Linked DNA regions of Schizosaccharomyces pombe. The gene in region 1 interacts genetically with each later gene. Each region holds a gene or a part of one and is shown in the gene's direction. Other genes may lie near its edges.

Evidence for each region.
Region 2: mutations in reb1 (region 1) and dad2 together harm fitness more than expected from each alone (negative genetic interaction), as found in Schizosaccharomyces pombe (2 studies listed by BioGRID).
Region 3: mutations in reb1 (region 1) and scs7 together harm fitness less than expected from each alone (positive genetic interaction), as found in Schizosaccharomyces pombe (2 studies listed by BioGRID).
Region 4: mutations in reb1 (region 1) and cdc10 are lethal when combined (synthetic lethality), as found in Schizosaccharomyces pombe (2 studies listed by BioGRID, with this or other methods).

Annotation. Positions count from the first base shown.
Region 1 is NC_003423.3:191,252-195,430, reverse strand, and holds reb1 (RNA polymerase I transcription termination factor/ RNA polymerase II transcription factor Reb1), read left to right. Parts: upstream 1-1,821; 5' UTR 1,822-1,888; coding exon 1,889-2,865; exon of another isoform or gene 2,866-2,906; coding exon 2,907-3,233; intron 3,234-3,284; coding exon 3,285-3,495; 3' UTR 3,496-3,679; downstream 3,680-4,179. Other genes in the region: ubiquitin ligase Mfr1, read right to left, coding at 1-586, 633-753; asparagine--tRNA (Asn) ligase Slm5, read left to right, coding at 3,755-3,942, 4,017-4,143.
Region 2 is NC_003424.3:2,782,712-2,789,853, reverse strand, and holds dad2 (DASH complex subunit Dad2), read left to right. Parts: upstream 1-3,561; 5' UTR 3,562-3,705; coding exon 3,706-3,841; exon of another isoform or gene 3,842-3,872; intron 3,873-4,169; coding exon 4,170-4,318; 3' UTR 4,319-4,695; downstream 4,696-7,142. Other genes in the region: protein Pop6, read right to left, coding at 477-764; dynein light chain Dlc1, read right to left, coding at 1,340-1,555, 1,616-1,726, 1,776-1,784; porphobilinogen synthase Hem2, read left to right, coding at 4,924-5,913; serine/threonine protein kinase (CK1 family) Cki3, read right to left, coding at 6,920-7,142. UniProt on the Schizosaccharomyces pombe protein: Component of the DASH complex that connects microtubules with kinetochores and couples microtubule depolymerisation to chromosome movement; it is involved in retrieving kinetochores to the spindle poles before their re-orientation on the spindle in early mitosis and allows microtubule depolymerization to pull chromosomes apart and resist detachment during anaphase.
Region 3 is NC_003424.3:4,055,179-4,063,207, forward strand, and holds scs7 (ER sphingosine hydroxylase Scs7), read left to right. Parts: upstream 1-1,597; 5' UTR 1,598-1,779; coding exon 1,780-1,837; intron 1,838-1,857; exon of another isoform or gene 1,858-2,125; coding exon 2,126-3,111; 3' UTR 3,112-3,637; downstream 3,638-8,029. Other genes in the region: RNA-binding protein Rsd1, read right to left, coding at 1-694, 786-839; SPOM_SPAC19G12.09 (NADH/NADPH-dependent indole-3-acetaldehyde reductase AKR3C2), read left to right, coding at 5,074-5,928; cpy1 (vacuolar carboxypeptidase Y), read right to left, coding at 6,332-8,029. UniProt on the Schizosaccharomyces pombe protein: Ceramide hydroxylase involved in the hydroxylation of sphingolipid-associated very long chain fatty acids. Postulated to hydroxylate the very long chain fatty acid of dihydroceramides and phytoceramides at C-2.
Region 4 is NC_003423.3:2,760,241-2,769,495, reverse strand, and holds cdc10 (DNA-binding transcription factor, MBF transcription factor complex subunit Cdc10), read left to right. Parts: upstream 1-5,695; 5' UTR 5,696-5,905; coding exon 5,906-8,209; 3' UTR 8,210-8,330; downstream 8,331-9,255. Other genes in the region: INCENP-like protein Pic1, read right to left, coding at 1-24, 68-225; PAN complex subunit Ppk26, read left to right, coding at 1,806-1,896, 1,945-2,039, 2,099-2,139, 2,185-2,341, 2,395-2,490, 2,530-2,674, 2,717-2,866, 2,912-3,022 and 4 more; mmp2 (endopeptidase catalytic subunit), read left to right, coding at 4,500-4,741, 4,814-4,963, 5,031-5,181; GARP complex subunit Vps52, read right to left, coding at 8,331-9,255. UniProt on the Schizosaccharomyces pombe protein: Major component of the cell cycle transcription factor complex MBF (MCB binding factor, also known as DSC1), that controls G1-S phase specific gene expression. Involved in the control of rRNA production, via interaction with pol5.

The DNA of each region.
Region 1 (4,179 bases):
CTTAGGTCATGATGTAAAATTACTTCGTCTTTGCCTCCACTTGTGAGGGTATTATCGTTCCATGCTAATGCTGCCACCCTTTCGGAGTGACCTTTTAAAGATCTGACTGATTTCGTAGACTCGATATCCCAGATGTAAATTACTCCTGAATCTGTCCCTACAGCTAATTGAGTTCCTTTACCTGTCCATAAGACGCTTGTGACATGATTTGTTGCTCCGAAATCATGTAATTGAACCACTTTACCACTTGCTGCTGACCAGAGATAAATGCTGCTTGCTAGTCCGACTGCCAAGACATTAGATTGGCCCCAGTCAAGCAAGTTTAAATAAAAGTCATTTTTTAAGTAAGGTGCATCCAAGATTTTATATGGAGTTTTTGGAAAAGCTCTTTTGGGCTTTTGTGGTTGCCGCAACATATCTTGAGATTGCGGTGAAATAGGAGATAGAGAATATGATTTTCTATCAGGTGTATCCAACATTTTCTTCTCAATTTTCCTTTTGTCTTCTCCATAATAGAAGGCTCTAGAGCGAGATGCTTGTGAACCGAAGAGCTCCATGCTTAGTAGCTCCATGAATTGCCTTTGAACTGCTGTCGTTAGTAATGGGAATATAAAACTAAAAAAGGTACATACTAGTGCCAGAGGTTTTGCGCCTAAGATTTGATCCATGGCTTAACACACATTCTTTGAATGACTGGAAACTAAAGTTGAACTCATTGCTAACGTTGCGAATGGGAATGAATCGGTCTCCCATTGTCAACCAATTCTTTATAAGTTGAAGTTAGTCGGGATGGAAGGGAAATGTTGAGATTCCTATTTCGTGAATAAATACCTTCCATGCTTTATTTGTTTTTACTGAGTGCTTTTTTCTGCCCGTCTGCAAGACATTGCTACAGAATTATGAAACCAGGTGGCTTGAAAAAATGCTAATTATGAGCTATAATGACTGCAGTAAACAAACATTTGCTAAATACTCTGTATAACTGCTAAAAATAAAGCTATCCTGTGATCGCCGTATTACCTAATGCTACCGTTTAAACTAAACAAATGCACTCATCAAAACAAACTGTTGATAAAAAATATCTCAATAACAATATTATAGTCATCAACCAGCAAAAGGTGATGTTATGGTAAGAGAACTCCTAAAATATGATGTTCATAGAAAAACAACAACAATGATCAGTTGACCACGATGTGCCAAACCCATTGTTTTCTGAATGTTTATTATGATCATCAGATCCCGGTCTTGTAAACTTATTGCCAAGAACCCAATTTCTTCAAAATGTTCAATTAATTAAACATTTATTTTAGTTGTTTTGTAACAGAGTAAATAGTGCTATAGATTCGTTCAAAAAAATTCCAACTACTATCGAATGCAAATACTTTTTACCATGTATGTGAGTACAAAAAAAATTTTCTCCTCATTCTCATTTCAATTGATTTATTCCTAACTATTTCTGTATTTCTTTTGGGATATTCATTTTTAAAGACAAATCTTCGTATGCTACTAATTTTTCCAATTAAATACTATTGGTATATTTCTGCATTTCTTGTTTATTTGATTAATAGTACAATTTCATATTTTAGGACGATAATAAATATGAGTTTTTTTGTACTAAGTGGTAAGCAAAAACAACATTTTTTGTATATCATTAATGTTTTCGTTGTACTACTTAGCATTGCCTATAAGGAAATGCAGCGTGTCGATATATCCCTTAATAACAAACCATCTTTATTTCAGATTTACACTCCTCAGTTTGTGTCCCACCCTTCCTAAATCGCTGTGCTAGCAAACTGCGAATTAAAGCTCACGAAGCGTTTTGTACGATATTAGCGATTGATAAGTTGAAGTGATTACTCAATTATAGTACTTCAAAAATATAATCTTTATGGATACCTCCGTATTAAATCCGGAACTTCAGATTCATGGATTTATTGGCGTGGATTCTTTGCAATCATCAAGGAAACGAAAGAATGATTTTGATGATTTTCCACTTAACAAAGGATTGAAAACAAATAACAATGACTATTCTGGATCAATAGAGCCTAAGTTTTCTCCCGCGTTAAGCATTAAAGAAGATGGTAAAAATGATCGCAATTTCGAGGCCTTAATGTCTCTTCAAGCCCAAGACTCCAACCTTTCTGAACAAAATACATCCATTCATTTGGATGCTTTAGCCTCCTCTTCTATAGCTTTAGGAAATGATAATGTGGATTCGAGCGCCTTCTTGTCAAAAGTTAACAAAGGTGTGAATGCCATGAGAAACTCTACTTCGAATCAAACAAATGATTCTATTTTAATAAGCCCTTCGGAAATTACCAATATGGATCCATTTTTGAAAGGTAGTGCTAGATGGACTGCGGAACATTGGGACTATTTAGAACGACGAATGCAAAACTTCTGTCAAACCTATTCATTAGACCATACACAGGTAGCCGATTCTCTACACGAAAAAAGACTTCACGGGCCACTCTCTTCTTTAGTTAAATTATTGGTTCAAGAAATGCCTAGTTTTACCAGAAGAACAATATTACGGCACCTCCGGGCCCTTTACAACATCCCAGGTTATGAGAAATATAGTAGAAAAAATTCTTCTGGAAGAGGGGATTTCGGGGTCCAGGAAACTGCCATTATTTCCCAAGAAGTACATAATTTTATTATGGATCAAGGATGGTCCGAGTATCAATTTTGCAATCAAATTTGGGCAGGAAAATGTCCAAAAACAATCAGAATGTTTTACTCTAATTTATATAAAAAGCTTTCCCATCGTGATGCCAAGAGTATTTATCACCATGTACGACGTGCATATAACCCGTTTGAAGATCGCTGTGTGTGGAGCAAAGAAGAAGATGAAGAATTAAGAAAGTATGTGTTTATATTTTTATTCAAAAATCATTAACGTTTAGAAATGTTGTTGAACATGGTAAATGCTGGACGAAAATTGGTCGTAAAATGGCTCGAATGCCTAATGATTGTCGTGATCGTTGGCGCGACGTAGTACGTTTTGGCGATAAATTGAAACGAAATGCTTGGTCGTTGGAAGAGGAAACTCAGTTATTGCAAATAGTTGCTGAACTCCGTAACCGTGAAGACTTAAGTTCTGACATTAATTGGACGCTTGTTGCCCAAATGTTAGGTACTAGGACTCGTTTACAGTGTCGTTATAAATTTCAGCAATTGACGAAGGCTGCTTCAAAATTTGAACTTCAAGAAAACGTTTGGCTCTTAGAAAGGTAAGTATTGACCTACATAATTTCTCTTGCTTGCTAATATTTTAATTTAAGGATTTACGACTCGTTATTGAACAATGGTGGTAAAATTCATTGGGAAAATATCGTAAAAGAAGCTAATGGACGATGGACACGCGATCAGATGTTGTTTCAATTTATAAATTTGAAAAAAATGATACCAAGTTACGACAATCTTCCTCTTCTAGAAGCCACGAAGTCAGCCATTGATGACTTTAAAGTGGTACTTTCTGGATTCTCCAATTGACGTCCTTACAATTTTTTGAACGAAAAAATTTGTTTTAACTTACTTAAGTAACTTTGTATCTTTTTACAAGTCCTTATTAAAATGACTTAATTCTTAACGCAACACCTTCATACTGAGGATATGTAAAGTCGCCTTACTACTACCGCTCTTTGCATTTCTAGTTATTGGCGAATAGTTTTTGGAAGAATTCATAATTTCCTTAGCAATAGAGGATTTTTTGTAAATTAATAATTAAAATTGAATTGTTTGCTAATTCCGTATGAATAAATTCCAACTACCAAAAACTTTAAAGTCTTTATGGCATCACCCACATAATGGAGAGTTAATAAGCATAAACGGCTGGGTACGATCTATCCGAAAACTAAAAAATGTTTGTTTTGCCATGGTTTCTGATGGTACATGTCAACAAGCCCTTCAAGTGGTGACTTCGCCTGAACAGAGTAAGAAGTATGGTTGAGGAGGAGACATAAAATCTAAATTATATGATATCTTTTTCCTACTAACATTAATTTATTATCAAGGCTATCATATGGTGCTAGTGTGAATATTGAAGGCCAGTTGGCAGTTTCTAAAAACGCAAAACTTGGATTGCAGCAGTATGAACTGTTGGCTGAGAAAATAAAAATTTACGGCCAGATAAATGATGATGTATGTGCTTTCAAAATTGAATATACTGCAAGTCTA
Region 2 (7,142 bases), on another chromosome or scaffold:
ACAGTGTAAGCTAGAACCAGCGATCTAAAAAAAAGAGGATAAGAGTGAATTGATGAAATCAATTGAAGATCCAAAACTTTATTGTTCGCAGCGTTGGAGCGACCAAAAAGCGAACTTTCACAATTTGAACCATTCCATGTGCGAAAAAAACAGCATTATGAATTAATTTCGTTCCACTCAACCCTTTTACCATAGCATCATTCGCAAAGACGTGAATGGAAAAAATAATATTAGACGTCTACAAATTGGCAAAAGGACATTGCAGGTCATCAATTATTGAAGAAGGTAAATCGAGTTTTCATCGATTAATGTACTATCATTTATAACAAAAAACTCACAAAGTAACAGTAATATAACTCGTAAACTGGTAAATTGTCAATCGATTGGTTCAGGGAATTAGCGTCTATAAAGTATGAATACAAATGAAAGAAGAATATTTTTGGTAACTTTGAAAAGAGTAAAAATTTGCGTATTATTTAGCTGTCATGCTCCAAAATCTGTAGGTCGATCTTCAACTGAGGAAGTGATCTCCGATTTCCGTGTATCAAAGTGTCAGAAGACTGCTCCTCGCTAGGAATTAATTCAATCGTTTGATTAAAGGGAATTTTCTGCTCGTTACAACGACGTTTTAATAGTTCAACTAGACTTACTAGTTTTACAGTAGCATCTCCTTCAGCCACAAAAGAAACTTGTTTTTCTTTGACAAAAGAATCCCACAACTTTAAAGAAAGTTGCTTAGCATTTATACTTTTCTCTATTATCATAGTTTATAAGCAAAAGCCTGCATGGCGTTTAGTAGGCTAATAACGTGGTAGTTAGACAGGTGCTCCCAAACATTAATTAATAAATTACATAGTTGAAACAACATTTTACTGCCTTGTAAAAAGATGTATGATTTTAATCTTAAAGCAAAGGTATATGATATAACAAATTTAAAATCTTTTTCGCTATTTTTATTGTAAGTACCTCAGTTTCTTGCTAGTCTTAGAGAGTTCAAGCAAAGTAAAGCTCGATCAAGCTAATACTGACACGATTCAACGTCCTTTGTAACCTTTGGAAAAAGGACGAACACGAATCGTATACACACCAAAATGCTTATAAAATACGAACATGTTACAGAGCGCTCACAAATGTCTGAATTTTAAGAAACGTAACTATCGTAGATTGCATATAATAGGAATAAGTAGAAAAGAAGAGTAGATAGTAAAGTTAGTAAATTGCAAAGTTAAAGGCAATTTGCATCTAAGGCAAAAACTGGTACCAGGGGATAAAAAGAGGGAATGAAACAAAGAGGTCTTTGAAGATGATCATGATTGGAACAGTTTCGATAATATGGTAATTAAATGGAGATCCACATAATGCTCAATACTACGTCAATAGCCTCACCGCTCTCTTTGATAGTAGTCATTCCATCCTTTTCACAATTCCAGCAAGCAGCGTGAGCTGCGTGAACGCCTCTAGAAGGATGATCTTCGGGAAGCTTTTGTACAAGAGTGGAACTAACAATCCATTTGTAAGACTGGGTTTCCTTATTCAAAGCATTTAATACGGCATACTAAATGAGACATAAAGTTAGCTACCATACATAGATATTTGTAAAATAAAATGAACTTACAATAACAGATTGATTCATTTCAGCTGTTTTGTCTCCGTCATATTCGGAAGCCTTCAAAACCGGCTGAGCAGCTTCTAGGCAAATTTCTTCAAGTTTTTTGGAATCTATAGGCTATTTTCATAATCAAATTAGTAAACGAATCGCGTATTTGACGACTTACACAGCTCATTTCGAAATGGGGTATTTTGATGAGTACAAGGAGGGTACGCAGTGAGATAAAGACACCCACAGCTAGTACGACGTTTAACGGTGACAACCCCATCGATACAAAGTTCAACGCGAACATAACTCACGTTAACATTTCTTTTTATTGTTGATTTCTTTTTGCTTTAAACCTGAAGTTAAGTAAGGATTTTTCGCTTACAGCGAATCGTCAACTTCACGTTGGGATGAATGAGATAATTCAAATAAAGCATCAAGTATTGCTTTAAAGGAAAACAGCGTTTATTTCTATTTCTTACATTCTTTAATTAATACCAATTTGAAAACAGTTGATGGTTGAAACATCGATAATTGATTTCGAAAGAAATGCATAATGATTTTGGAAACCATGTCTTCCTCTAACCGTAATAATTGTATCGAAAAAACTCATAATTACACATAATTACTGGTGTTTGGATTACCAAAAGACATTAATGTGTGCTTTACGCTTTTAACAATACTCTTAGCAAGTCCAGTTTCAGTAATGAATTGAGTGTGTTTCTTTGAAGACGGGCCGAAGGAAAAAACAACAATTTAAATTCTCTGAACTTAAAGTGTATAGAATCTGTTTTTAGTTATCGAAATGTTAATTCAGCATGAAGGGAAAGCGATTGTTTTGCTGTTCATAGAATCCAAGTATCAATGTAGCGAAATCATCCAAATCTTTAACTATTTGATCATTGAATAAAACTACAAGATAATTTATGTTTAGTATTCCTACCATTAGTTCTTTCAATAATTTTACAAAAATGGAGAAGATCTCATCGGTACTGCGATACATAAAGATGCTACTACCCAAAGATTTTAAATCAATGATCCTTTCAATCCCCTAACCCTTTTATCCTTTTCCTTTTTTTTCTTTCCTATAGATTATTTACTGACTTTTATTTACAGGGACATTCTGTGATATAACGGTATTATAACTTGTTTAATTGTTATATAAATGTAAACGTTATTGCCGAAAACCATGTATAAAGTGCGTTATTCTAAAACTGTATATAGAATATAATAACATACTGCGCGAAATTTAATTGTGAGATCGAACAATTCAGTAACTGAGTATTTGGAGTAATAGTGAATTTTTGCGAAGGAAAATACTCGATTACCATGTAAACAAGGGTTTGATGTATGTTAAAAAGTTGTTAATTAGAAATGGATAATAGCCACTCTATTATAATTTGTTCTAAAAAAGTTGGGTATTCTTTAACGACCCGTTGGAACCGATCATTGAAGAAACTTCAATAGTGGATGAGACATTTTATGAATTTTTAAATTAGTCAAATACGGTTCAAATTTTAGAAAACATACGTGGAAGTTGCATCCTGTCTAGAATAAAAAATTCATTTCCTTATGTATCGGAACGTTGACAATCTTGTTGACCAAAAGAATATACTATCGAACCCAAATCTTAAAAGTCTTTTAAGCCCATTATACCTTGTGTAAAAAAAAATAAAAATAAAAATAAAAGAAGAAATAGTAGAGAATATGCACAGTTTTGATCCTCTTTAAAACTTTAGAGGGATGAAGCAATGCATACTTACTTAGTAAAATATGGATATAATAAGCTAGCTAAACTTGACCCATTATTTGAGTAATTATATTCACTATTCAACATAGTTTCCTAAATTCATTATTACTTTAAATTAATGAACTAACTAATTTATTAAAGATGAAAACAAATGGTTAAAATTGAGTAAAATCAATCATTATATTTTTTGTTAGTCTCTATTATCAACCTCTTTATTAGTAATACATTCCGAGATATAAAATTCCAGAAACGGAAATTATTTGTTTTAAACGTATAATTACAAAACCGAAATCGCCTTATATGGTGTAGGAGATAAATCTAGTAAATTTCGTACCTTCTTCTACAAACATTTGGCGTGAACATGCTTCAAGCAAGGATTGAGGAAAAGCAAAAGGAATACGAACTAATATGCAAACTAAGAGATTCTTCTAATGATATGGTTCAACAAATAGAAACGCTTGCTGCTAAATTGGAAACTTTAACAGATGGAAGTGAAGGTATGTTCATTACGAGGAAAGTATATAAAAGAGCCTTGTCACCAATCTGTTTAAGTGCTATTCATGTGAACAAGTATAAATATCATTACATTGAGAAAAGCAAAGAAACAAGTGAATTGATTGGATCTGCAGGATTGCAAATAAAAGCAATCATTTGCCGACATGTCTCTAAATGAACTTCTACCTCTCAATAATTCACCTAAACGTAAAAAATATAATCTGTTTATTTATTTATTTTTTCTATTTTCACTACTACTCATACATGCTTGACGACTCTTTTTAATCCATTATAATAAATGTTTGACACTCAAATCACTAACAAAATCAGCTGTTGCTACTGTTCTCAATAATTGGCCCAGCATTTTTGAGTCAATACAGATAGCATCCCAACATTCAGGAGCTTTAGTCCGAATTCCTCCTTCTACTTCAAATACCAACGCATCTGCTACGGAGCAAGGCGATGTTGAAGAGGTATAAAGACTTAAATACTCTTTTTAATTTCTCACTGAAGTAGAAAAGGCCAAGAATTGGTTAAAATAAATATTATTGTTCTGTCCATTTATTCATATTGTTTCTTCTATTTCAGAATTGGTAAAGCCGACAGCAAACCCAAGTTCCAAGTATCTTCACTTCCTAATGAAATGGAGAATGAGATCACCTTGTAAACTAAATGATATCTAAATTTTTCATTTGGTCATTTTCTTTTGGCGTTCGTCCTGTTTCGCTTGTTTGAATACTCCCAGCATTCCCTTACGACAATTAATTTCTTCAAGGACAAACAATTTATTCAGGAGTGATACTATTGTTATGTAATCAACAAATATCGTGGTCCGATGCCCGATTTTTTAAAAAAAAGTTAAACTTATTTATCTTAACCTTCGCCAACCTCTCGCCATCTGCCACTTACCTTTTTAAAAATATTTCTTAGGAAATCTTGTTGATCTTCCGCTAGAACTTTTTTAAATAACCAATAAAAGGCGCTTTTGCTGGTCCATTAGTTCCATTTGTCACAAATCTGCTTTTTTTACGCAGTTTTACATCTTTAGGAAAAATCAAATAAATTTTGTCAGTTAGTATTTAATATGCCTGTTGATATCAGTTCTCTTTTGCATGCTGGGTATTCAAACCCGTTGCTTCGTGAATGGCAAGGTGTACGTCCCATTACCAAGTCATCTCTAATGTATCCTATCTTCATTTCCGAAATAGATGATGCTAAGGAAGCCATTGATAGCATGCCTAATCAATTTAGATGGGGTGTTAATAGATTGGAAGAGTTTTTGGGTCCTCTCGTCAAAAAAGGTCTTCGTAGTGTAATTCTGTTTGGTGTCATCGAGTCCAAAAAGGACTATTGTGGTAGCATGGCCGATTCCGAAAATGGACCAGTTATTAAAGCCGTTAAAGAAATTCGTCACCTTTTTCCGGAGCTGGTTGTTGCTTGTGATGTTTGTCTCTGCGAGTATACTGATCACGGCCACTGTGGTCTGTTATATGAAGATGGCACTATCAATAATGCTAAATCCGTTGAGAGAATTGCTGAAGTTAGTGGAAATTATGCCTTGGCAGGCGCTCAAATAATTTCTCCTAGTGACTGCATGGACGGTCGTGTTAAGGCGATTAAGCAGAAACTTGTAGAGTTGGAACTGTCTCATAAAGTATGCGTTATTTCCTATTCTGCAAAGTTCGCTTCTGGTTTTTTTGGTCCTTTCAGAGCTGCTGCTAATGGTGCCCCAAAATTTGGTGATCGCAGCTGTTATCAACTTCCCTGTAATGCACGTGGCTTGGCCAAAAGAGCAATTCTTCGCGATGTTAGAGAGGGTGCTGATGGTATTATGGTAAAACCGGGAACACCTTATCTCGATATTTTGGCAATGGCTTCTAAGCTAGCAGATGACCTTCCTATTGCTACTTATCAAGTTTCAGGCGAATTCGCCATTATTCATGCTGCTGCTGCCGCTGGCGTATTTGAATTAAAAAGACATGTGATGGAAACCATGGATGGCTTTATGCGTGCTGGCGCTAACATAGTTTTGACTTACTTTACTCCTGAATTATTGGAATGGCTAGAATATTAAACAAAAAATAATGCGAAATCAATCATCTTCAAAATTATCATGATTGAAAAATTATTTTGTTTATATTCTTTAATGGTCTAGAGTTTCACTTATGAAATTGTTTTTCGAATCTGCGATTACCGGTTCTTGTTTATTAAAAATTTTCGTTTATAATCTGTAGCAGTTATTTACGAAAGAAATTGTTTTTCTTTCTTTTAAAATACTTTAAATTCGTGTGTAGAACAAGATTTTATCTTAGACAACCGTAGGTTGCCAAATTATCGTGATATCCTATTGACTCCTTTTGCAAGCGATGAACGGACATGTTAAAAATTTAATATTTAATTTATATAATTTGATAGATTTGTCTCAATACTTCATGGCAGTTAGAATAAAGTAAAGTACATTATCCACGTTTACTGACTATAACTTTCTAGCATGATAAGATAAATTAAATATTCACTATACTTCACCCAAAGTAATTGGAGCATGTTCTTCTCAAACATCTTTTACCTTATGAGTCAACATTTGGTAGCTCAGTGAAGCTTCTGACTATTTATGTATATATCGATATAACTTACAATGAAAAAGTATGACAGCTGCAAATGATTCAAAAGTAAAATGCAACGACAAGGAACATGCTTCTACGCTCTTCAATTGCATATGATGCATAATGCATTGGAGTAATAATATGAATCTATGTATATAAGGTAGGACAACAATTAGTACTAATTAGAATCAAAATCTTCATCCTCAACACGTTCAAAAATTTCAAAATCAAAAAGAATGCCAACAAACACAGAATCTCATCTAGTGAGCATTTTTTTTTTGAACAACAGTAAGCAATGTAATTTAAGCAGCCGGGATTAACGTCACATTACGATTCCGGAAGAATTAATTTAAAGAAGGAATCGTATGGACGTATTATGTTGCAAATTGTAAGCGGATATTTAATAATGGGAAAAAAATAAAAAAAGTATCGACATAACAGTGAAAGACAAGAAGGAAAGACGTTGAATAATCATGACTATTCTTGTTTCGATATGCAGCAAGACAGTAAGCGAAGATGGAACTTCTTTCGTGATTTCTCTTTCGAGGGCGCAGGCTTAGCAGCTTGTTGAGTGTCTACCTGTGTAGGCTGGGTAGTCTGAGGAGCAGGTTGCTCCACCCGTTGCGGTTGCTGCTGTTGAGCGGAAGAAGTTTGCTGTTGTTGTTGAACTTGGGGAGAAGCCGCTTTCCCTGGTATACCA
Region 3 (8,029 bases), on another chromosome or scaffold:
GATTTGCGAGTTGAGAAACGAACACAGTACGGCGATCACGCTCTTCCTCTGAAAGTTTAGAGGAGCGTTCACGAGGACGGGAACGACTTCTCTTACGCTCATGTGAACGGTCATCATCCCTCAAGTCCTCATAATCATAATCATGGGCTCTAGAAGAACGAGAGGAGCGTTCTTCATAGCGGCGACGACTACGACTATGCCGCGAAGAGTAAGGAGGGCTGCGTGAATAATCATCGTATCGATGGCGACTACGACTTGAGGGATGGCGGCTTCGACTTGACCTTGAACTGCGATCGCGATCGCGAGAACGAACGGGTGATCTACTTTGATGAGAATCTACAGAAGAGTGAGGAGAGGGAGAGCGACTACCATAATCGGACCTTGGACTATATGATCTCCTATGGTGTCTTGGGGTGCGATGACTTGAGGAATTTGTAACTACATCATCGTTATAACCGCTATCCTCTCGTTGAAAAGATTGTTTGGAAGATCTGGCGTACCGATAACCCATTGAAACGGGAGGAGGAGTTAGACGACCTTCACTTTCGTAATTTTTAGACACGGGTTTGAAAGAGCGATCATGCAACCGTGTAGGCGGTGGAGGAGGGTTAGAGGGATGACTATGAGTGGAAGAGGTGAGTGAGGATTCATGAAAAGAAGAAGATGCCTTTTGCTGATTTTCTTGATTTTGCGGCTAGGAAAAGGGTTAGTAAAAACAATAAACACGGGAAGACAAAAAAACAAAGGGAAAAGGCGGGAAGGAAGGAAAAAAATTGTAAACGTACCACTTCTTGCTTACGAAAAGGAGCCTCAGCCAAGGCTTCCGCGTCCAGCTGCATTTAGATTAGATCTGTTTATCTATGCGTGGAAAATACGTTCGTTTATTTTCGTTTTCAATACAACAAACTCTGACAGGATCGGAACAGACTTCGACTGGAAAACTAAGTAAGCTAGTAAAAATGGAGTTTTGTCAGTCTAGTAGCTTTCGTCGCTTCTAACACGAATTGTTTTGTTAAAAAATATTAATAATGAGTACTCTTTTGAGCTATTTTGTCCTCTTTCTTTCGGTGGAAAAAAAAGTGGAATATTCTACTGCCTAAGCGATAAAAGATGAGAGAAATTTTAGTACAAACAAAAAAGAAAGCGAGGAATAGCGGAATAAGGAAATTCCAAGCTAAAAACAATTACCGACAATAAGAAGCAAAGAAACGGAAAGGAAGGAAAACAAAATTATACCTAACCAAACCAACGAAAAGTAAATCACGAAAAGTTAATAAATTTCGATCAACTTAAGGTTTTCTCTTTTCAAGTATTTTTTCGCAAATAATAATTTTTAGTCTACTATGAATAAATCAATGAATTGTATCTGTAAAGCACTTCACTCGTCTGTTCTTTCCCTGTGTATAGGCCCTTGAGTGCAATTTTCTGGTGTTCAGTTTCGGAACCCGTTTTGCGATACGGTAAATATTGTTTTCCGTTGTCTTACCATTTTTCGGAAAAGTCGATCAAAAATAGCACGATTTTTTGGTTCGCCCCGCAATGCCTTTTTGCCCTTTCCTGCGACATATATAGGCTACTGCATCCACGCCACAACATCGTGCCATTAACGCAACACAAACAAAGAACTGACATTTTGATCAATTGGACAAAAATCCAAGTAAAGAATCATAGGATCAGTTGCTACGTTGTAATATTTACTGTATTTGTTTATCAAACTCATCAGAAACACGCTTGCTACAGTTTTATCACGAATTAACAATTCATACTCCCATCTCCAAAATGGCCTCTGTTACTAGTGAAAAGTGTGTTATCCTTTCTGACGGCACTGAATACGATGGTAAGTATTTAAACAAGGAGAAATGGCAGGGTGTTTGGGTTTTGAGAAGGAGATTTGGTTGAAGGACTAAAATTTTTTCTCGGCAACAGAGTGTTTGAGAGGCAATGTATAAAAAACAATGAAAACGCATATAGCAAAGGCTTATTGGCAAAAGATCCATTGTGGGAGATGTGCCATTTCTTATCTTTTTTCTTTGTTCGTTGTGCTTTTAACTTTTTTTCACCTTTCCCCCTTTGCCTTAGTTACACCAAAATACATGTATCGTTCTTTATACTAACATTCCATTAGTCACCAACTACTTGGTTGCCAACAAGGACGCTGCTGACTTGCTTCGTCGCTATCACCGCCAAGAGGTTGCTGATATCCTTAATGCTACCTCCAAGTCCAAGCACTCTGAAGCTGTTGTTGAGATCTTGAAAAGTGCTAAGGTTCCTTTGAAGAATAAGGAATTCAGTGATCTTGTCGACCAGAACATTGGTGTCGGTTATGGCAATGAATTCATTGTCAAGCCTACCGATCTTGACAAGGATTTCGAGAAGAACCATTTCCTTGACCTCAAGAAGCCTTTATTGCCCCAAATTTTGTTTGGTAACATCAAGAAGGATGTTTATTTGGACCAAGTTCACCGTCCCCGTCATTACCGTGGCAGCGGTTCTGCTCCTTTGTTTGGAAACTTTTTGGAGCCTCTTACCAAGACCCCTTGGTATATGATTCCATTGATTTGGGTTCCCTGTGTCACTTATGGATTCTTGTACGCCTGTACCGGAATTCCCTTCTCTGTTGCTATCACCTTCTTCATCATTGGATTATTCACCTGGACTTTGGTTGAATATACTATGCATCGTTTCCTCTTCCACTTGGATGAGTACACCCCTGATCATCCTATTTTCTTGACTATGCACTTCGCATTCCACGGTTGCCACCACTTCTTACCTGCTGACAAGTACCGTCTTGTAATGCCTCCTGCTTTGTTCCTTATCTTTGCCACTCCCTGGTATCACTTTATTCAACTTGTTCTTCCTCACTACATTGGTGTTGCTGGTTTCTCTGGTGCCATTCTTGGTTACGTTTTCTACGATCTTACCCACTATTTCTTACATCACCGTCGTATGCCCAATGCTTACTTGACTGATTTGAAGACCTGGCATTTGGACCATCACTACAAGGATTACAAGTCTGCCTATGGTATCACCAGCTGGTTTTGGGACCGTGTTTTTGGAACTGAGGGACCTCTTTTCAACGAACAGGGAAAGATCAGCACTAAGGCTAAGTAGATTGTGATTGCGTTTGAATCATTTAGCTGCTAAATTGCTTTCAAGGTGTTAAAAGTTTCTTTGGTCCTTTTTAACTATCAATAATTTTGTGTGCTATATAAATCTTGTTGTATTTTTCTTTTCTTTTTTAATTGCTTTCCAAATTTTTTCTCCTCTCTTTACCCTTGAAATCACTAAGCAATTTTCCCCCATTTTCTCTCTGACTTTAACTAGGCCTTATTATAGTGCCTTAAAGCTGTGTATTATATTTGAATTGCAGAAACATCAAATTTGATTTAATTTGATTGATCCACTCGCTAAAGCATCTTGTATCCCACATTGAAATTGTCTTGTCTTTCTTCTTTTCTATTAATACTATTTTCTGGTTTCTTTTGAACAAGTTTTCAAACTTTACCTTGTTAAGTCGAACTTAATAATATTATCTTGACTATCGGCTATATAATTTGAGTCTAAGGTTGCTATTTTATTTTTCCTTTTATCTGTCTTTTAAATATAATTCGAATTTTTAATTGTTTTTACCACCCCATCTGTTTGTAGTGCGAAATGATTTTCTTGTAGAAGCATCTCCATATCATAAGAGCGCTGAATAGTTTTTGTTGACCAAATATGCAACGCCGAGACGAAAAATTTAGGAAGAAGATGAATAGAGATATCCACAATATATATGTTTTAACTATATTTAAGGGTCATTTTACATTTGTTTATAAAATGTAAAAAAATTTATTAAAAAGATCGTAATGAAAGGTGTGGGACTCGAACCCACGAGCTTTCGCACTAGTGCCTTAAACTAGCTCCATAACCACTCGGACAACCTTCCTTTTTTGAGTATTAGGGTAACTTAAATCATCATATAGGATTTCACTAATAAATTTTTATTTTAAAAATTTGTTTTCTTGTGAATAAAAGTGTAGCAATTTACTGATTATTTAACCAGAAAATAGATTTTAGACAAAATCTATAAAAATATTTGTTAACAGAAACTAGCTTGTGGGGAATGCGTTTAGAATTCCTCAATTACAAGTTGCAGGTAAATTTACCCTAGTGTTTGTTAAGCGGACGTCGAGTTATTAACCATTACTATTGACGTTGGTTAACATGAATAAGCTTGAATTATTGCCAAGTCATTTTCCTGACACTTTCAGATTTGTTTATTTGTTTTTTTCTCAACCTCTGACATTTAGATGCATAATACATGTCAAAGACTTCTTAAATGATTACGATCATCATGCCTTGAAGGAGTTTCCTCAATTTCTTGCCGATAAAGACTATAGTAAAAAATGATCTAGCAAAACTGAGTAAGCATTGTTTATGATTAAAGCATTGCTATTATAACGCTACAGCTTAATGGTAACTACCTTACATTTATTAACATTATAGGTAAGAATATGCTGTAAAAACCGCCAACTCATCTGGTGGTGAAGATAATCCTCGCAGCTAAAACAGAGGGATTCATTCAAGAATTGAATATTGCTAAATCAATTAAATACCGAATCTAACGTTCAACTTATTCTTGCCTGTAAAACTGTTTTCTATTCAACTTACACTGTTTAGTTGGAACAAATCTGCTTTTGGTTACACGTTTGTTCCTTATCTGATCAGATAATTCTTCATTTTAAAGTTCCAAAGACTCCTCTCTTAGATGCTGCACAACGTCAGTCAGATATTCTGTATGCCAAGCCAGACTTGGCTGATGTCATCTGACTAAGTTTTTGGAAATCTATATAAATAGCGATATACGGCCCTTTCTCGCACTCTTTTCACCTAAACAGAGCATTTTTAAAGAAGAAATTTATTAATTCTTGCTGCGATTCTCTTTTCTTTTGCTTGCAAAAATCTCGGTTTAACGTTTATTCCATTCATTTCTATTTAACAATTTTTATCCTGCAACTTTTAAAGTAGCGCCTCTTTGTAGCTTACTCTTTTTCTACTTTCAAGTTCTTTCGTACTCTTAACATTTTCAACATGCTTATCGCTGCTATGGGCCCTAAGATTCCCGTCCCTGCTTATGGGGTTGGTACAGCTTTGTTTAAGAAAGAAAAGGGAGAAATCAATCGAACCATTGTAGATTCGGTAAAGAATGCACTTGCTGCTGGTTTCATTCATATCGACTGCGCGGAAGTATATGGCAACGAAGAGGAAGTTGGGGTGGCTTTGAAGGAAGCTAATGTTCCAAGAAGCAAACTCTTTATTACTTCCAAGGTTATGCATAATGTCGATAACATTCCTGAAGCCCTCAACGAATCTTTACGTAAGCTTGGTACTGACTATTTGGACCTGTACCTTTTGCATAGTCCTATTCCTTTCTATGAAAAGAAAATACCCATTTCTGAAGGTTGGAAAGCAATGGAAACGGCTTTGGGAACCGGTCTTGTCCACTCAGTTGGTGTTTCTAACTTTCGTATTCCCGACTTAGAGGAGCTGTTGAAAACTTCAACTATTACTCCTCGTGTCAACCAAATCGAATTTCACCCTCAAGTATACAAGGCCGCGAAGCCTCTTGTAGAATTTTGCCAGAGTAAAGGAATTATCGTTGAGGGTTATGGCCCTCTTTCTCCCTTGGTTCGTGATGCGCAAGGTCCTGTTGCTGAATTCACTAAATCATTGGAGAGCAAGTACCATGTTTCTGATACTCAAATTCTTCTCAAGTGGGCCTATTCTAAAGGCGTTATACCTATCACTACTACCTCAAAAATTGAGCGTATGAAGGAGTGCTTGAATTTTGATTCTTTCACTCTAGACAAGGCTGACATTGACGAACTTGGTACCTTAGGTGTTCAACATCACAAGCGTACATTTATGAAGCACATGGATGAGTAATACTTTTATGTGATCAAGATAATTTTTATTACGAAGCACTTAGTTATGGACAATCTATTTCAATTACAATCGACTGTTTACATCTTAAACCAAAAATTTTTGTATGCAGTAATTATCGGCGTAGTAATATTGGTCGGGAATTATAACTATGTTGTTACTATTACGACACAAACCGCGAGAATTGAAGAAATACTTACAGTGAAAAGTTTTCCAACAGCGTTACTTACTACTACTACAAAAACAAATATTTATGTAATTCATCATTATATCTTTCAAATATTAAAATCAATTTAATTAATAAAACGCAAAGATTAATTATGGCTACTGTATATTAGCCAATAGTCAGTCATATTCGGTTCATATCAACTATTCAGTAGATGTAAAATGTCCAACTGATGACACTTTAAGCAAAAAGAGAACCATCTATCCAGCTGTTCAACATTTCTAAACTAGCTTCGGGTTGGTTGAAAGGAACCATGTGTCCAGCTTCGTAGAGGCGAAGATAACCAAAGTTTTTGAAAGACTTACCACGACCAGCTTCCTTTCCATTAGGACTCCAAGGCTTCAATTCGGCCTCATAAAACTCACGTTGACCAGCCCACTCAAGTGCGTCGGTCCAAGCTTCATTGCCCATGTAATTGCAAATGTAGTCAGCATCACCGGCATAGATAAGAACGGGTAGGCCAGCTTCTAAGATTGCGGTGACATCGTCACGGAAAGTCTTACGCATCCAGTCACCCTTGAAAAGGAAACCAATGTTTACTTCAGTATTGCATCCCTTGTAATCGTATTCAACTCCCAAAGCTTCTTGAACAAATTCTTGGTTCAAGTAACTCTCAATTGCACCGGTTTCGGGGTAGCATAAGTGCTCTTGGTCACGGCATTCTTCACGAATATCATAAATGTTGAGTCCAGTCTTAGTAAATGGTCCAATCATAGCGTTATTGCAATACAAAGAGGCACCAATGCAAACAGGAGTAAAGCCAGTCTGGTAACAGCCAGTGATTAGCTTAGCGCAGGTATCATAGGCACCAGTAATGCGATCACATTCCTCTTGGGACATAATAGGACCGTAAGGGCTCTCGCAAGCCATTTTTCCGTAAAAGTAGTATTGGACCAAAGGATCAGTCAAACCATTTCCAATCAAGACACTCTTCAAATTGATGTATTGCTTCTCCATTTCATAGCCGCTGGCAACAAAGAAGTTAGCACCTTGGTTATGCTCCATAATTTCCTTGGCAAACTGGGGGATGTAATGGCCAGCATAGGATTCACCAGCAATGTGAAAGTCCAAATGAGCGTACTGAGGGAACTTGGCAAAGAAAAGGTTCAAGAATGCATAAACATCCTTACCAGCCGTAACAGTGTCAAGAACCGAGTCATCTCCGTTGCTGAAACCCGTGTTGATAGGTTGATCCAAAAAGATAACTGAAGCATTGGAGTTCCAACTGTGAGGGTTATATTCGGGTTTAAGAGTCTCAATGTTGATTGAAGAAGGACCTAATTCCATGAACAAACCAGTAAGGGAAGAGCAACCAGGACCACCGTTCAACCACAACACGACGGGATCATTCTCGGGATCATTTCTAGATTCAAAGAACCAGAAGAAAAGATGTCTGTCATCTTCGACATCTAAGTAACCGGTGTATTGCTTAACAGTGTCAATACCAAGTGATTCAGGTTTGGAATCTTTAACGCGAAGAGTGTGATCAGGGAAAGCCTTTAAATTTACATGTTCACCATTCTCTTCTTGTGAAAAAACAGCGTAGGGACGTGAAGAATCAGCAGGTTGAGCATTAGATGGCTTAGCAGGATGACTCTGGTCACGGAAAGCAGTCATAGGATCAATACCTTCAGCCTTGAGCATTTCAAGGTAGGCAAATTGTTCAGGAGTGAGATCACTCAACTCCAAATCATCGTCGAATTCAAATAGGGGGGGAATTGATGAATCCTTTGGGGCATTTTCTTGAATATGTACAGGAATGTTACCATAGTATTCAATACCAAGAGTGTCTAAAAAGCGAGAAAACTCTTCGGCAATTTCTTCAACAGGAACAGAATTGATGAGGTCAGCGAAAGCCTCAATGACCAAAAGCTCATG
Region 4 (9,255 bases), 2.6 Mb from region 1:
GTTCTCACTAATTCATATATATCCCTAACCATCTAATTAGCACATATGATAAACAACAAATGCGTACGACTCTAGCTGTAACTTGGAAACTTCAAGCATGTGTTCATTCAACCAGTCCATGGTTTCAGATACAAGGAAGAAGAATTCTTTCATTTTTCCATTAGTGAGTTGTTGGGAGTATTCCAACTCCTTATTAAACCATAGTTCTGACCCATTAGAGCCCATCCTGTTTGGTTACATATAAAGAATGAGCTAGTTGCTGGAGAGTGGTCGGTGGTGGAAGCAATCAAATGTCAACAATATACAACAGTAGTTGTATACCTAAGCTTCCAACTAAATTTATAAACAATTATGCTTTCCCAATTTACAAATGATCAAAAGGTTTATTGTTTTCAAGATTTAAATGTAAATATCAAGTTCCGATGTTATAAACAATTGTTAGGAATATAGACATCGGTTAACGACGAAGAGGTTTTTAACGAAGTAACACTTTAAGCCATACATTTTTTCGAGATGCCGATGCTGATTTTATTGCAGTAATTATTGAGTGGAATAAGCAACCCAATGCATGCAACCTATCGTTCGTTTGATCAGCAGACAGAGTTAACTAGTTTGTGTTCAAATATCTTTCACCATTTGTTTATGTTTAGTATATAGCAAGCGGCACAGACATAAAAGTTTCTATTGAACGGCTACAAGCAATTTGTCATGCTTTATACGCTTGTCATTTATTGGATTTTTTTAATGATTCGATCTACAATATTCACGCATTTTCTCCATTTTTTGTTCACATACTTGCCATAGCTTTTAAAAATAATTTTTCCAATCAGACAGAGATAAATGCCAAATATCATACACTTGTCTTTAAGTTTTCAAGAATGTATTAAAACATGGGTAACCATTCTCAAAAAATTAAAAGCTTATTCAATACAAAATTCACCGTTCTCTTTTCATTTTGAGCTATTTTAACTCAATTAGACTTTTCATTCCTTACTCTGTTTTAGAGGACAATGTAAAGAGAATAGGGTAATAAATATGCTTTTATAATTGACAGTCTGTTATTATTCTTTTTAGCAATTTAAATATTTTTCTGAATTCCTAAAATTTCTTTAATTAATTAAATAAATAATATATACTTTTTTGTCTGACAGATCAAAAAAGGAAGGGTGTCCGAGTGGTTATGGAGCTAGTTTAAGGCACTAGTGCGAAAGCTCGTGGGTTCGAGTCCCACCCCTTTCAGTAATTTTTTATTGCATTTTATAGCAAAACAGGGGAGTGTGAATTTGGCAAGCTGTTAGTTTCTATAGGGAATTTATAACTGCGAACTAAGTTTTCTTACTTGCAATGGCTATATATGGGAGGCCGAATTGCTTGAAAAACATAGCTTTGCATTTGAAACAATTCGCAAAAGTTGGCACTAAGGAAGAAGTTAAGATAAAAAAAATTCAGTTACTTTGGTTTTATGATTTGCAATTAAATTACAGTGATCGCAGAAAGATAGCAGCATTACGAAGACATGTTCAACTGCTACATAACACTTGCTATTGTTAAAGTTTTCGAAATAGTTACTGCCCGTTACATGTAAAGAACAGATAAAAAATAAATTAGAATTACTGTCTTCTCAAATGCTTAAATATTACTACTATGAAATTGTTATATAAACAAAATGTAGCGTTGCAAAGTATTACAGTAAACTTCGTTGTGCTGCATTATTAGTATTGTCCGGGACTTACTGATTCCACGACCTGTAACTAAATTGCTATAATCTCAGACTGTTAGCTTGGGATTGCCTGGAAATTGACAGGATGAGTGTGAGGAAGAATTCTCCTGCAAGCCCAAAGCCAACTTCCCGTTCTAGGGAGAGTTCCAGGTCTCCGTCAGTGACTGATTTGAAAGGTAAATGGAAATTCAAAGCAAAACTTGACTGACCACCATTTTTAATAGACCATTCCAAAGCTAAACGAACATTATGTAGAAATATCTTACTTTATGGATCCTGTAAGCATTCAGAAAATGGATGTGCTTTTCGACATGATGGTGTAAGTATAGGCGTATTCTCTTAACTTCAGAGAAGCTTCTTGCTTACGATTGTTTGTAGCCTTTCATCCCTTCTTCAGAGAATTTGGAGCAATACTCAGTGTATGATTTTTTTTAAGGCTTTGTACGTATAATTAACCTCGCTAGTAAGAAAAAACTGAATGCTGCGTCGGCCTCTTTTCAACCTGTTCGCGCTTTACCAGTAAAGGCTGCTGGCGCTGCAGTATTTGTTCCTAAATCACAAGAAAAATCTCTTTTTCTATCTAGAGAGCGTACCCCTGTTGCGCTTTCACCAGGTAGTCATGTATGTCTGGCTAACAGCTTATATTTTTCTTACTAATTTTACTGTAATTTTAGGCTATTAATCCTTACAATAATGCATCTATGTTGGTCAATGAGCCTTTTCATGATGACTCTGGGGTTTATTATACTCGTCAAAACCAGTTTAAACCCGTAAGTCTAAAGCCTTATTATTGTTGTTGACAACAACAGACATTGTACAATTTATATAATCCGCAACCTTCTCCCATGCCAACTTTACTTCCTTATGAAAGAACTGTAAACGGTCTATTTATTGATGATACGACTAGAGAAAGAATCGAGAGAAAGAGCGAGGCATCCCGTCAGACAATTTCAGGTACTTAATTTGTGTCTAGCTTCCTTTATACTAATATTTTAGCGCTTCCGTCTATTATATCTTCATATACTTCTTTGGCGCCACTGAATACAAAGCTTTATCGGTATAAAGAGCAAATTGGATTCTCTTCTTGGACGTACAAATGCACTTCTTCCATCGATGGGAATGCTTACGTTTTGAAACGACTCCAAGGTAACCTTCAGATTCATAAATTGCAATTGCTAATATATTTAAAAGACTGTTCAATTAATATTGATACGTCGACTGTCGACAAGCTTAAAAATGTTTTTCATCCAAATATCGTACCATTCCATTCTGCTTTTCATACTGATACATTTCATGATTCTTGTAAGTTTATTTTACTAAACCTTACTAATTAATCAAGCGTTACTATTAATTTATGATTTTTATCCGTGTACTACAACCCTTGGTGAGCTCTACCTAAACAATTCTAAAAATTCTGTCAAGTTGGAGGAAAATAGAAAAATTCCAGAACGAGAGTTATGGAATTATTTTTTCCAGCTTACTATCGCTTTGTCATATCTACATAAATCCGGGTTTGCTTGCAACAAGCTTACTCCGTCGAGAATCCTTGTGGATCAAACTGAAAGGTATTTTTTTTTGAACATTTTTTATGTTTTGATGGAATACATTTCTTTAATTCATTAATGACTTATACTAACGTGTAAAGGATTCGTATTAGTGGTTGCGCTGACTATGAATTGGTAGTGTCAAACAAGCCTCCATTAGAGGAACGAAAGAAGCAGGATTTTGTAGATCTTGGAGTTGTGATTGCGAATTTAGCTACTGGAAGAACTGATATGGACATGTCTTCAGCCGCACGAGCAATTTATAGTACATATTCGAGGGAATTTTATAAAGCGGTTTTATACTTTGTATCGGAAGTTCCTGAGGATAAAAACTTGGAGTTGTTTTTGCAAAATCACATAGAAAGTTTTTTCCCTATAATGAGTTCACCATACGTGGAATGCGAAAAAATGGAGAGAAAAATTTCGGACGCTTTCCAACACGGTCGATTTTTTAATATTTTGTGCAAGATTATGTTTATTATTGATAATAATAGAGCTTCTCGTGAATATCCTATCGCACGAGAAAAAGAAATTTCATTAATCTACTTATTACGAGATTATCTTTTCCATCAGATAGATGAAGATGAGTGTCCTGTGATAGATTTATATCAAGTGCTGAATCGCCTGGGAAAGGTAAGTTTTTTACATTTTTCTCATTATTGCATTTATTAATTCATTAGCTTGATGCCGGTATAAATCAAGCCATCGCATTAATTTCCCGAGATGAACTTGATTGTGTTTCAGTTTCTTATGGGGAGGTAAGTATTTGCTCAAAAAGCCATAGTGGGTGCTTAGTAAATTAGACTACTTTTCCACACTATATAGCCTGTTTGTTTGCAAAATTACTAACAATAACAAATGTAGCTAAAAGCTTGGTTGGACAACGTTTACGAAATGGAAATAAATTCTTAAAATAAAACATTTTTCTTTACAGAATATTTATTTGTTTTTTTGTATCTATTACCATGGTTGTTAATTTAAGTAAATAATAGTTTTCGCTATAATAATATTAGAAGGAAGCTAAGCTTAATGTGGTTTTGAATTACCTACTGCAACACACCGTATTGAAACAAAAACGATCAGGAATAGAAGCCTGACACTTATCAGATAAAATTCATTAATACGTTTTCCTGGTTTAATTATTAATTACGGAAACTCCCATGCTTGTTAAGGTACATACAGACGGTTAATCATAAACTTCTTAGAGGAGAGAGTTTAGCAGTTGTCCTCAAAAAATGGCAAACCCTTTCGTTCGAAATCAATCTTTTAAATCAGTATTTTTTAAAAATTTAGTCGGAATTACCCTATGGGTACCCGTATTAATGTTCGTTGAACAACATGTAGTCAGCGTCGGTACAATTGAAGGTAGATCTATGAAACCAGCCTTTAACCCTGAGACAAACATGCTGCAGAGAGATAGGGTACTACTTTGGAAATGGAATAAGGATTACAAAAGAGGAGATGTAGTTATACTACGGTAAGTTCTTGGATCGTTGCAGGGTCTTTCGGTACTGAGTTTCCCTTTTTATCGTTACTAATAAGCAACAAGCTCTCCAGAAAACCCAGAGGAACTATTGGTAAAAAGAGTTCTAGGAGTAGAATACGATATCATGAAAACGAGACCTCCTAAAAAGTTGTCATTAGTACCCGTTCCCGAGGGACATGTGTGGGTCGAAGGCGATGAACAATTTCATTCTATGTAGGTTTCCAACAATTGTTTTTTTACTTTTTCGTTTTCTTCTATAGAGATATTAACTAGTTTACAGTGATAGTAACAAATTTGGCCCAGTATCGACAGGACTCATCACTGCCAAAGTGATTGCAATTTTGTTTCCCTTCTCTCGTGCAGGGCGTATTGATCATGAAGGTTTCCGAAAGAATGCAGTGTTTTTAAGTGGAAAACGTTCTGTTAAGTAAGCTGCACCACAGTGAACCTGTTTCCTTGACAGTTTAGTTCCATGCTGGTTGGTGCTTATTTACATTTCTTTTAAGGAACACGTTATCCTTAAATTTAATTTATTTCGACGCGTCGCGTTCTATATATGACGTCATTAATATGTCTATCTATTTACCTATTTGAAAAAGATGGAAGTTGGAAGCTACTTTGTATTAGAAATACCAATAAAAAAATATAATTTTTTCATACTCAACATCAAAACTTTTATTTAGGGAAAATTAGAATTGACTGAAAAATCCGTCTCTTTTGCATATCCCGAAACAGTAAAGTCGTTGAGTATAGCAAAGTTGGAAATTTTTCAACAGGGTATTTGAAATGAGAAAGAATTCCATTTCTAAGTAGCCTTTAAATAAAACCCCCAGAAGAAACGAACATTGAAGTAGTCCTTTGTTTTCCTTAGGAAGCCTCATATATCGTTACTTCGAATACGGTCTAACGCCGTACCAAATGTATACAGCTGCGTGAACCTTCCCAGAGCGAATTTGTGTATAACACGAAATCCGAAAAAATTACTTCTATTTATTTGAAAAAGAAAGGAATTCACAATCTCTTAAACAAACCAAGTGGTGAGGAGCTCGAGTCTTCTTTCATGGTCAGTTCAGCACCCTTATTTTCGAGAAAAACGTGCTGCCCTTTATAAAAAATTCGATATTTTTTCGGCATTTTTTATTTTAATATACTATAATGGCTTCAGCCAATTTTATTCGCCAGTTTGAGCTGGGGAACGATTCTTTTTCATACCAAAAACGCCCAGAGGATGAGCCATCACAACCCCTTTCAAACAGAAATATAAACAAACTAAACGATTCATCTACTTTAAAAGACTCTAGTTCAAGGATTTTTATTAACTCCCAAGTTTTACGTGATGGCCGACCCGTAGAATTGTATGCTGTCGAATGTTCAGGCATGAAATATATGGAGCTTAGCTGTGGGGATAATGTTGCTCTTCGAAGATGTCCAGATTCTTACTTTAATATCTCTCAAATACTTCGACTTGCTGGTACTTCGTCATCTGAAAACGCCAAAGAATTGGATGATATTATCGAGAGTGGGGACTATGAGAATGTTGACTCCAAACACCCTCAAATAGATGGAGTATGGGTTCCATATGATCGAGCAATTTCTATAGCAAAGCGATATGGGGTTTATGAAATTTTACAACCATTAATTTCTTTTAATCTTGATTTATTCCCCAAATTTTCAAAGCAGCAACAAATCGAAAGTTCTTCAATCTCCAAAAATTTAAATACTTCTTCTTTTAATACGCGATCCCCTTTGAGGAATCATAATTTTTCAAACCCTAGCAAGTCTTCAAAGAATGGGGTGCACACTATAAACAATATGCAGAGTTCACCTTCACCTTCTTCCTCTTTCTTACTACCTTTAACTCAAATTGATAGCCAAAATGTTAAACGCTCTAACAATTACCTCTCCACCTCTCCACCTATCCTTGAACAGCGTTTAAAACGGCATAGAATTGATGTCAGTGATGAAGACTTACATCCCTCCTCACAGTTAAATGATAATGAGGCCTCTTCATTGTTTCCAGATACGCCAAGGTTGAACCATTCACTTTCTTTTGTATCCTTGGTTTCTAGTCTTCCTCCACTTGATCAGAATATTATGCAGGATTATCATACATCAAAAGACATTTTGACCTCTATCTTTTTAGATGTAAACTTTGCTGATTCCAGCGCCTTAGAAGCAAAGCTGTCGGACTCATTAGATTTGGATGTCCCCATTGACGAACTTGGACACGCCGCTCTGCACTGGGCAGCAGCCGTTGCCAAAATGCCTTTGTTACAAGCCTTAATACATAAAGGAGCTAATCCTTTACGTGGCAACCTCACAGGAGAAACGGCATTAATGAGATCGGTTTTGGTAACCAATCATCTCAATCAGAACTCTTTTGGTGATTTACTAGACTTGCTTTACGCATCTCTTCCCTGTACAGATCGAGCTGGACGGACCGTCGTTCATCACATTTGTCTTACTGCAGGTATAAAAGGCCGAGGTTCAGCATCGAGATATTACTTAGAAACCTTATTAAATTGGGCAAAGAAACATGCAAGTGGTAACAACGGATATATGCTGAAAGACTTCATAAACTATTTAAATCATCAAGATAAAAATGGGGATACAGCTTTAAATATCGCAGCAAGAATTGGAAATAAGAACATTGTTGAAGTTTTAATGCAAGCCGGAGCTTCCGCTTATATTCCTAATCGTGCAGGGTTAAGCGTAGCAAATTTTGGAATTTTTGTTGAAAACGCATTAAAACAACCCGAAGACTCAAAACAAACAAAAGTTTCCCTTATGAGTGAAAATCTGTCCAGCAAAGAAAAGACTGCTGTCCCTCCTCGTCAAAAGAGTAGAGACATTATCGCCTCTGTGACCGATGTAATATCTTCTCTGGATAAAGATTTTCAGGATGAAATGGCTGCAAAACAGTCTATGATTGACTCAGCCTACACCCAATTGCGTGAATCTACAAAAAAGCTGTCCGATCTTCGTGAACAACTACACGTGTCCGAGACGCAAAGAACTTTGTTTCTTGAATTAAGGCAACGTTGTAAAAATCTTATGACTTCGATCGAAGAACAGAAAAGTGAATTAAGTAATCTTTATGAATCTTTTGATCCCAATGGAATACACGATTCATTATCATTGGATGCTGACGCTCCTTTTACTGTCAATGAAAACAACAACAAAAATTTATCTATTGCTGAATTGAAGTTTCAAGTTGCTGCTTATGAGAGAAATGAAGCCAGATTAAACGAATTAGCGAACAAACTTTGGCAACGAAATTCCAACATAAAATCAAAGTGCCGTCGGGTTGTTTCCCTATGCACCGGTGTCGATGAATCTCGAGTGGATTCATTATTGGAAAGTTTGTTACAAGCCGTGGAAAGTGACGGTCAACAGGGAGAAGTAGATATGGGTCGAGTTGCTGGATTCTTACGTGTTGTTAAAGAACATCAAGCATAATATTGCTTTTTGTGGTTTACCACTAAAGTGTCCTGAAATAATTAACTACTTTAATTTTTTTCTTAATATAGAATCCTACCAAATGAATAAAACGTAATTTATTATATGTTAATAATCTTGGCTATTGGAAATTAGTTAAATTTTCATTAAGCTTTTCGAAATATGTTTTTTGCTCTATAGCTAAATTTCCCGATACGCCGCTAAGAACAGTCGAAATGAGGGTATAATTATTGGACAAAAACCTACTTTGTCTCCTTTTGTCATTAACTGTTTTACACAGGTTTTGTAACATGCTCACATAATCCTGAGCTAGTCTTGAAGCACTTCGTGCAACAGGCTCGGCTTCTACGACATTAACACTTAGCATCGAAAGGCTATAAAGTAGTTCAGCTACTCGCTGCGAAAGTGGATGAGGTCGCGAAGTGATTTCTTCTGGCTTCACAGATAAGTTAGTTTTACGGAGTGACTCACAGTGCATGTCCATGACAGCTTGAAAGCGAGGCCACAGAAAAAGAATCATGGAGTTATAGTGTGGCTCAATAACAGGCACTATATTAGTTTGCGCCTGTAAAGCTAATTTTTGAGTAAAACGAATGGACTTCAAAATACCTATGCAATCGATACTGCTTGATATCAATCCTGTAATGTATTTGCGTGAAAAATGTAAAGTTTTTTCAAAGATAGCGGCAAAAACGGTAGCCTGCTGATCTTTAGAGAGGTTAAAGTACTCCAGCAAAAAAGCATATTCAGAAGAGACGTGTTCCGTCAAGACTAATTCCCATGAGCAATAAACACGTTCAATATATTGTGGGGAAGATTCAATATGATGCATTGTAGATGCTGTCAACACAGAGTTCATATCAAAATCCTGAGGGCGCAAGTTTACTGAGAGCATTTGATTCCCGTAAGATTGTTGTGCTCCTTTGGAAAGGTTGAAGAGTCCTTTCCGATCCTCTTCAACGCGAATAGTTTCTCCCTTAAGGACATGAACTTTGTCCAAAAACCTAGAGTACTGTTCGAAGTGGTATAGATAAAACCAATTCATC